3 linked regions of the Saccharomyces cerevisiae S288C genome follow. Changing the gene in region 1 together with any one later gene gives a genetic interaction. Each region holds a gene or a part of one and is shown in the gene's direction. Other genes may lie near its edges.

Region 1 (3,762 bases):
GTATAGCTCATACTAGATATTAAACTTCGGAGAAAAGTCCCTGTTTCAATGACAAATATGAGTTGCACAATAGAATTTTTATATCTATGATTACGCTTGGTAGGATGAAACTCTTAAATTCCGTTATAAGTTTTATAAATCGCCGTAATTGCAAAAATACAGGGTGATGCGTATAAGTCTCATAAAAATCAAATCATTCCCTCTATTGCAACCATATCAAATTTTGATGATGATTATTTTACAATTTTCATTGCCATGGATGAAAATAAACGCTGATATCTTTATAATTAACCCGGAATGGAAATTGTGCACAGTACATCAATGGCGTTTCGAGTATTAAGACCTGTGATTTAGAGCCAATTAGCCAAGTAAAGCGACATTTCCTTTCTATGTTTGGCATCTTTTTTTTTTGGCCTTAAAACAGTGTTTCTATAAAATTAAGGGCCAACTCTTACAATAGTAATGAGATTAATAAGGCCCAAAGAATATTTTGGCCATTTCTTTTTCGTACAACCATATAGTTTTCTCAAGTAGCGACGAAAGAGAGATAACTGAAACAAAATGTCATGGAAGAAGTGCTTATATTAAAAAATCTATGTCGGAAATATTTCTATAGGGAAAAGTATACTAAAATCTTACTCGAGCTTTGAAATGAACAAGCCTAAACCGCCCAATTCCAAGATCTTTAATATACTATAACTTGAAAGTCATACCTGTTATATCACTCCAGAGGTTATTGTGGGAGCATATTTAATGCTTTGTGGGTAAGCTTGATAAACTGTAGTTCTACCACTTTTCCCAGGATACTGATTATGGTAAAAGTTCTTATTTGTCTTACGACTTAGATTTAGCACTCACATTTGTCATCATATGTTGAAAAATCAAGCTGGAATTTATTGGTGGATCTTTCATCTCCATTTATACTTTTTACTTGTTTTTCTCCAAGCAAAAAGATTTCACGTTGTTCGGGAGGTAAATATGAAGTAGGAGAGCAGTCAGGTAGAGTGGTTATCCCATCAGCCAGAACCTGTCCGTAAACAGGTTGTGGACTACAGTATGTGTGTTTTTTTCTTTCTAATTACTCAATTTGGATATTTTGGTGACTATAAAGACCTCTCGTAAATTTCTGAAAATATGCTTCGGTTCGAATCTGTGGTCTGCAGTGCAGCGTGTTGGTATTTTACCGACAGTTTTAGCGAAATATGTATAGATCTGTCACGCTTGCAACATCGCGACAGGTCGATATACTAAAATTACAGCATGAATTTCTGATCTATAATCACACTGTTGCAGTTTCCAGAGAGTCAATCATATTAAGTCCTCAGTTTGAATCAATGTTGGCTTTGTTCTTCTGGAGAGGAATCAGCTCGTTATATGTTTGTCTTTTTCTCTGCTCGAGAGTCATCGCGACATTCCACACCCCGCGTTTTACGTGCACAGAATCTTTCGTAGAAGGGAGCATTTGACATCCTGTCAGCCATATGCAATGAGTATGCCACAAGTTCATGATAGTGTTGACTATAGAATATAAAAAAAAGGTGGGGTCATCTGTAATCGTTGTTTGTAATTCTTAGAGGCCTGTTCTTGGAATTATTATGCAAAGATTACCATCACAAAATCTAACACAAATAGAGATACAGGTCTTGTAAAGCCATTACCTAGCTATGAAAAACTTATCTTTTCTCATAAACAGAAGAAAGGAAAATACAAGTGACTCGAATGTATACCCAGGAAAGGCTAAGTCGCATGAACCCAGCTGGATAGAAATGGATGATCAAACTAAGAAGGACGGCTTAGATATTGTTCATGTTGAGTTCAGTCCGGATACAAGAGCGCCAAGCGATAGCAATAAAGTAATAACAGAGATATTTGACGCTACTGAGGATGCCAAGGAGGCAGACGAAAGTGAAAGAGGAATGCCACTTGCGACAGCATTGAATACATATCCCAAGGCAGCAGCTTGGTCACTATTGGTCTCTACAACTTTAATCATGGAAGGGTACGACACAGCTATTCTTGGAGCTTTCTACGCCTTGCCTATTTTTCAGAGAAAGTTTGGCTCACAAAATGACAAAACTGGAGAATGGGAAATTTCAGCGTCATGGCAAATCGGGCTGACCTTATGTTATATGGCAGGTGAAATTGTGGGGCTACAGCTAACGGGGCCCTCCGTGGATCTTGTTGGAAATCGTTACACATTGATTATTGCATTGTTTTTTTTAGCTGCCTTCACTTTTATACTGTACTTTTGCAATAGTTTAGGCATGATTGCTGTGGGACAAGCATTGTGCGGGATGCCATGGGGTTGTTTTCAGTGTTTGACGGTGTCTTACGCTTCTGAAATATGCCCATTGGCTCTGAGATATTACCTTACAACCTATTCAAACTTGTGCTGGTTATTTGGACAACTTTTTGCAGCTGGAATCATGAAAAATTCTCAAAAAAAATATGCGGATTCAGAATTAGGATATAAACTACCATTTGCCCTACAGTGGATTTTGCCAGTTCCTTTAGCACTGGGAATTTTTTTTGCACCTGAATCTCCATGGTGGCTAGTTAAAAAAGGAAGGTTTGATGAGGCAAGGAGATCACTTAGAAGAACTTTAAGCGGCAAGGGACCTGAAAAAGAAATACTAGTAACTCTGGAGGTGGACAAAATAAAAGTGACTATAGATAAGGAAAAGAGACTCACAAGTAAAGAAGGCTCCTATAGTGATTGTTTTGAAGACAAGATTAATCGAAGAAGAACGAGAATTACTTGTCTCTGCTGGGCTGGTCAAGCCACTTGTGGTTCAATACTAATAGGTTATTCAACTTACTTTTACGAAAAGGCTGGCGTTAGTACTGAAATGTCCTTCACTTTTAGTATTATTCAATACTGTCTCGGTATTTGTGCTACATTTCTATCTTGGTGGGCGTCAAAGTATTTTGGTAGATATGACCTTTACGCTTTTGGACTAGCCTTCCAAACCATTGTTTTTTTCATTATTGGCGGTTTGGGGTGCTCAAGTACGCACGGTTCCAAAATGGGAAGTGGTTCTCTTTTAATGGCTGTAGCATTTTTTTACAATTTAGGAATTGCCCCGGTCGTTTTTTGCCTAGTCTCTGAAATGCCATCTTCAAGACTAAGAACGAAAACAATCATTCTAGCACGTAACACTTATAATGTGGTCAGTATCATATGTAGCGTTCTCATCTTATACCAACTGAACTCTAAGAAGTGGAACTGGGGCGCTAAGTCAGGCTTTTTCTGGGGTGTCTTATGCTTTTGTACTTTAATCTGGGCTGTGGTTGACCTACCAGAAACTGCCGGAAAGACTTTCGTGGAAATAAATGAGTTATTTAAACTTGGAGTTTCTGCAAGAAAGTTCAAATCGACGAAAGTAGATCCGTTTGTTGTCAAAACCCCCCCTAAAGACGTCTCTCATAACGACCCCAAGGGAGATATCGAAGCTTCCATTGCAGAGGAATAGCAATGTATCCCATCACTTATGAGCTAATGAACATTTATCGACACAGGTAAATAGGTAACTATGGTATTTACTCTACATGTTACGGAGTATAATACACGTAGATTTGTTTCTTCCTCATATTCCCATGACATGTCTCAGTAATTGAACTCAAAGTAACATTTAGCTTTCTTCTTGATCATTGCGTTTGGAAATGTATAGTTAGAGAAAAGATTCTTTCTCATCCGAGTATGGCGCGTGAAGAAAATGAAGATGGAGTTGTCGAAACAAATGGTCATCGACATTAGTTTAA
Region 2 (3,145 bases), on another chromosome or scaffold:
CTCGATACTTTTGATTGGAAATTAATCACTAATGATGATTTCAGAACAGAGGAAGAAATACTTATGGACATAAATACTTGGAAGGGAAAACGGAAAGGTTTGATCTTAGAGCACGATGGTGCACGAAGAACAGTTGAGGTTGCTATTAAAATCAACGAACTTATTGGTAGTGACCAATTGACAATTGCAGAATGTATTGGTGATACAGACTACATCGAACGCTACGACTAGAAGTAAGATTTCCGAGAAATAAAGTTTCTCTCTATATATCTTTGATCTCTTATTTAATTATTCAACTCGCAAAAATAAAAAGAATATTTTGTTATTTCAAAAGTAAAAAAGTATGTATTAGAATAGAGGACATATATAAAAATCATATATATCGATGCTTGAATGTATAAGGAAAAGCGTCAAATTATGAACGGTAGGTACTTAGGATGCTGATGTCACATAAAGTCAGAGGGTATAACTTTAAAAAGTAATTTTTTAGAATCTTTTAGCGTCAAAACGTTACACGTACATTTGAACAGTGTTAAGAGTAGATTAATTCAAATTATACTTTTACGTGCTCCGATACAGTCTCTACCTCTTCGTTGTCAGTGCAAATAACAATTGGCTTATCATGAACTGTTCTTGGAGATGGAGAATATCCTTTCAGACTCGTAATATTGATGACGGTAGTTATTCTGCGACATTGAGTAGTACTAGCATCCCTTATAACCGGAATAGTTGTTGATGTAGGTGAACTTTTTGGGACATAACACTTGGCAGTTGTTTGCAAATTTTTTGTGATCATTGATATGTTTCTTAGTGACATTTTTGATGCTATTGTTTTTATAGTGTAATTGCTATGAGTTTATTTTGTTGACAAGTATACTTGGCTGTCTTTTTTATATAATAACGAAAATGTGTAGTGGAAAAGCAGGTGTGTTTTGTCTTATATCTTACAAACTATATAGGCTTATATAGTTTTTTTTCAAAGATTCTTATTACTGCACAAAAAAAAATAAGATCCCAAATTGAACATTAACATTAGTCATATTCAGGGATGGCTCATCACGAACAGCAAACTGAATAATTTTCTTGTCTGCGTTCCTTTTTTTGTGCACCAATGGATGTAGTATGCGCACCTGATGCGCATAATAGATTGCAATTACACTGACTACAACTTACGTATATGCGTTTTTATTACTTTTCTATTGCAACGGCCTAAAGGAATTCGATAAAAGAAAGAGTAGGCAAGATAAGCCTGAATTTGGCTTTCGGCTGTTATTTTTACTTCCGCTAAATTTTCTTTGTTCTTCCATTGTTTTTTTGCCTTTGTGTTCTCCATTAATCCATCCAATTTTAATGTCGGATTAATGGAACTTTCTATTAACCCATAAATGCCACATAGTACGGCTGTAGCAGTGAAGGTTACAAAAGGACGGGTAACACATGAGAAACATGCGTCAGGGAACAAACTAGATATTTGATTTTGTGACGCAACGCAAAAATTACTGGCTATTCTTTTGTAGTATTATCAAAATCCATTTAAAATATTCTCTCTCCTTCAGTAATCCTCTATTATTTATCAAAAACCCACAGTGGGTAAACAAACTGCAAAAGAGTTGTTATTATTTCTACGGATCGGCAATTGAAAATGAGAATACAACTAAATACAATTGATTTGCAATGTATTATTGCACTTTCCTGTCTGGGGCAATTTGTTCACGCGGAAGCTAATAGGGAAGATTTAAAGCAGATAGACTTTCAATTTCCTGTATTGGAAAGGGCAGCTACAAAAACGCCTTTTCCGGATTGGCTTAGTGCATTTACCGGGTTAAAAGAATGGCCTGGGTTAGATCCACCTTATATACCTTTAGATTTCATTGATTTCAGTCAAATTCCAGATTATAAGGAATATGATCAAAACCATTGCGACAGTGTTCCAAGGGACTCGTGCTCTTTCGATTGCCATCACTGCACCGAACACGATGATGTGTACACATGTTCCAAACTTTCCCAGACATTTGACGATGGTCCTTCTGCTTCCACTACTAAATTATTGGACCGGTTGAAGCATAATTCCACCTTCTTCAATTTAGGTGTCAATATAGTTCAACATCCAGATATCTATCAAAGAATGCAAAAGGAGGGACACTTAATCGGCTCACATACCTGGTCTCACGTATATTTGCCAAATGTATCGAATGAAAAAATTATAGCTCAAATTGAATGGTCCATCTGGGCGATGAATGCTACTGGCAACCATACCCCCAAATGGTTCAGACCTCCATATGGCGGAATAGATAATAGAGTAAGAGCAATAACAAGGCAATTTGGCTTACAAGCCGTCTTATGGGATCACGATACTTTTGATTGGAGCCTCCTTCTCAATGATTCTGTCATAACTGAACAAGAAATTCTTCAAAATGTAATAAACTGGAACAAGTCAGGAACCGGATTAATATTAGAACACGATTCAACGGAAAAAACTGTCGATCTTGCCATTAAAATAAATAAGTTGATAGGTGATGATCAATCAACAGTTTCTCATTGTGTCGGCGGAATTGATTACATAAAAGAATTCTTGTCCTAATTTTCAGGGAATTGAAGAAAATAAGGAAGAATTAAATTACAATTTAAAAAGAAATTGCTTTAGTATTTTATATATAGACATGCAGCAACTTCTTGATATATTTCAGGAAGAAAAAAACTGTTTCAATATATACGTATCTTCTGCTTTCAGCTACATTTTTACTTCAGAGACATAACCAGTCTTTTTTCATCAGTACTGTCCAGTTGTAACAACATAGAAATTACAGGAAGTAATTGGTTCCGTTGTTCCTTGTGCTCCAAAAATCCCAACAAAACATTTTTTATATATGCAATTTTTTCATTTTTCTCAGAGTCTAACTCCAATGAACTTGATGATCGTATCTTCTCTAATTTAGTTGGATTAGAGTTATTCGCTGGTGAGGAATCAATATTCGCGTTAGCTAGAGTACCGATAGAACCAGACCTACTAACTCTTCCTGACTTGTCACTGTATTGTCTTTCCTTTAAAGCATTCAATTGAGAGGACAATGAACGATAATTTTTTAGTAATCGATCAAATTTCTTGTTAAGTTCGTTATTTAAATTCAGAAGTTTCTCATTGGCA
Region 3 (3,125 bases), on another chromosome or scaffold:
ACAATTGAGTAAAGCTCCCATTCAGGGGTATGCAGATTATTTAGCCTCTATTTTTGTTCCGGGGATCCTAATTTTGGCAGTATTGACTTTCTTTATTTGGTGTTTTATTTTAAACATCTCGGCTAATCCTCCCGTCGCTTTCACCGCAAATACTAAGGCTGATAATTTTTTTATTTGCTTACAAACTGCTACTTCTGTTGTCATCGTCGCATGCCCATGTGCATTGGGACTTGCCACGCCGACTGCTATAATGGTGGGTACAGGGGTTGGAGCTCAGAATGGTGTCTTAATAAAGGGCGGAGAAGTATTGGAAAAATTCAATAGTATTACTACTTTTGTTTTTGATAAAACAGGTACCTTAACTACAGGTTTTATGGTTGTGAAAAAGTTCCTTAAAGATTCAAATTGGGTTGGAAACGTGGATGAAGACGAAGTTCTCGCCTGTATAAAAGCAACGGAATCCATTAGTGACCATCCAGTTTCGAAAGCAATTATACGTTATTGTGATGGTTTGAACTGTAATAAGGCTTTAAATGCCGTTGTTTTAGAAAGCGAATACGTGCTTGGAAAGGGAATAGTCTCAAAGTGTCAAGTTAATGGAAATACTTATGATATTTGTATTGGGAACGAGGCGCTGATTTTGGAGGATGCATTAAAAAAATCCGGATTTATTAACAGTAATGTCGACCAAGGAAACACTGTATCATACGTATCAGTAAACGGGCATGTGTTTGGCTTGTTCGAGATTAATGATGAAGTTAAACATGATTCTTACGCAACAGTTCAGTATCTACAAAGAAATGGATATGAAACGTATATGATTACTGGCGATAATAACTCAGCAGCAAAAAGAGTCGCTAGAGAAGTAGGTATAAGCTTCGAAAATGTTTACAGCGATGTGTCACCCACAGGCAAATGTGATCTCGTGAAAAAAATTCAAGATAAAGAAGGTAATAACAAGGTTGCTGTTGTTGGCGATGGCATTAACGACGCTCCCGCTTTAGCACTGAGTGATCTAGGTATTGCCATTTCAACAGGTACGGAGATTGCTATTGAAGCAGCTGATATTGTTATACTGTGCGGTAATGATCTGAATACTAATAGTTTGAGAGGACTGGCCAACGCCATCGATATTTCACTAAAAACGTTCAAAAGAATAAAGCTGAATTTGTTCTGGGCACTTTGCTATAATATATTCATGATTCCGATTGCTATGGGTGTGCTCATTCCTTGGGGCATAACTCTTCCTCCAATGCTCGCCGGTTTAGCGATGGCATTCAGCTCGGTCAGTGTCGTTCTAAGTTCATTGATGTTGAAGAAGTGGACTCCACCGGATATTGAATCACATGGGATTTCAGATTTCAAGTCCAAATTTTCGATTGGGAATTTTTGGTCAAGGCTTTTTTCTACGCGGGCTATTGCAGGTGAGCAAGACATAGAATCACAGGCCGGACTAATGTCAAACGAAGAAGTCTTGTAAATAACAGGTAAGTCTAATTTATTTAAAAAAATCCACGAGCATATAGATTTATAACAATAATAATAATTAATATTCATCAATTTTTTAGTAAATTCATATATTTTACTCCTACTCTATGTATTTTCAGTAAGTCTACTAGTCGTATTACCCGTCGGTTTCAAGGGATATTATGGAGGTAATAAGGATTTTTTTACCGATTTAAAAACCCATTATATCCCTCTTAGAAAAATTTTAGTATTCTTAGATAAGTTGCTAGATTTACCAATATCAAAGGGAAGACTGCAGGACAACACAAAAACACAAGAAAAGGAGGACAAAAAATGCAGGTTAAATCGATTAAAATGAGATGGGAGTCTGGTGGTGTTAATTACTGCTATCTATTGTCCGACAGTAAAAATAAAAAATCGTGGCTAATCGATCCAGCAGAGCCTCCTGAGGTTCTGCCAGAGTTGACTGAGGATGAGAAAATAAGTGTTGAAGCAATTGTTAATACACATCACCATTATGACCATGCAGATGGTAACGCTGATATCTTGAAGTATTTAAAAGAGAAAAATCCAACTTCAAAAGTTGAGGTTATAGGAGGGTCAAAGGACTGCCCAAAGGTTACGATAATTCCGGAGAATTTGAAAAAGTTACACCTAGGTGACTTAGAGATTACTTGTATTAGGACGCCCTGCCATACCAGAGACTCTATCTGTTATTATGTGAAAGATCCAACAACAGATGAGCGCTGCATTTTTACTGGCGATACACTATTTACCGCTGGTTGCGGTAGGTTTTTTGAGGGTACAGGCGAAGAAATGGATATAGCTCTGAACAATTCTATCTTAGAAACTGTGGGCAGGCAGAACTGGAGTAAAACGAGGGTTTATCCAGGACACGAATACACAAGTGATAATGTAAAGTTTGTTCGTAAGATTTACCCGCAAGTTGGTGAAAATAAAGCATTGGATGAGTTAGAACAATTCTGCTCCAAGCATGAAGTCACAGCAGGGCGGTTCACTTTGAAAGATGAGGTAGAATTTAATCCATTCATGAGATTAGAAGATCCAAAGGTCCAAAAAGCTGCCGGAGATACGAATAATTCATGGGACAGAGCTCAAATTATGGATAAATTGAGAGCTATGAAAAACCGTATGTAGGAAAGCCAACAGAGTATAATATACTTAAAAATATTCTTTTAGCATACCCTTTTATTTCAATGTATAAGAGTTTTTGGAACGCTACTTTATAACATTCAGGTCTGTTCACTAGAACTCTTGTAGTTGTGCCGTCATAAAAATTAGTCTTCGCGTGGCTGAAAGAAAAGTTCCAATAATACGGGCGGCTCGAGTAGAGTAATCATTGCCGTCACAAAACCATTTTCGGGTAGAAATAAAGCAATGGATATTTGAGCTCCAGAATTAAAATGGCTTTCCTTTTGCGGTTTACTATCTACTTGACTTTGGCTGGTATTTAAACACAAGTAAGAGAAGCATCAAACATGGGAAAGAAAAATAGAAAGGGAAAAGAAAATAATGCTGCTAAAACCTCTTTTCTAAAAGTAGAGAATATTAAAAACACTAATTCGGGATTGGAGCTTCCATCGCAAGACTATACAAACGTTGAAGAAAAAGAAAGTAGCCCGAAAACTGACTTTCCA

The links.
Region 2: mutations in MPH3 (region 1) and CDA2 together harm fitness more than expected from each alone (negative genetic interaction), as found in Saccharomyces cerevisiae (one large-scale study listed by BioGRID).
Region 3: mutations in MPH3 (region 1) and GLO2 together harm fitness less than expected from each alone (positive genetic interaction), as found in Saccharomyces cerevisiae (one large-scale study listed by BioGRID).

What each region holds. Positions count from the first base shown.
Region 1 is NC_001142.9:737,719-741,480, reverse strand, and holds MPH3 (alpha-glucoside permease), read left to right. Parts: upstream 1-1,664; coding exon 1,665-3,473; downstream 3,474-3,762. UniProt on the Saccharomyces cerevisiae protein: High-affinity uptake of maltose and maltotriose. Also transports alpha-methylglucoside, glucose and turanose but not melezitose or trehalose.
Region 2 is NC_001144.5:746,295-749,439, forward strand, and holds CDA2 (chitin deacetylase CDA2), read left to right. Parts: upstream 1-1,642; coding exon 1,643-2,581; downstream 2,582-3,145. Other genes in the region: chitin deacetylase CDA1, read left to right, coding at 1-231; DPA10 (Dpa10p), read right to left, coding at 554-817; IMH1 (Imh1p), read right to left, coding at 2,740-3,145. UniProt on the Saccharomyces cerevisiae protein: Hydrolyzes the N-acetamido groups of N-acetyl-D-glucosamine residues in chitin to form chitosan and acetate. Chitosan is a component of the spore wall.
Region 3 is NC_001136.10:1,007,210-1,010,334, forward strand, and holds GLO2 (hydroxyacylglutathione hydrolase GLO2), read left to right. Parts: upstream 1-1,800; coding exon 1,801-2,625; downstream 2,626-3,125. Other genes in the region: Cu(2+)-transporting P-type ATPase CCC2, read left to right, coding at 1-1,480; DON1 (Don1p), read left to right, coding at 2,967-3,125. UniProt on the Saccharomyces cerevisiae protein: Thiolesterase that catalyzes the hydrolysis of S-D-lactoylglutathione to form glutathione and D-lactic acid.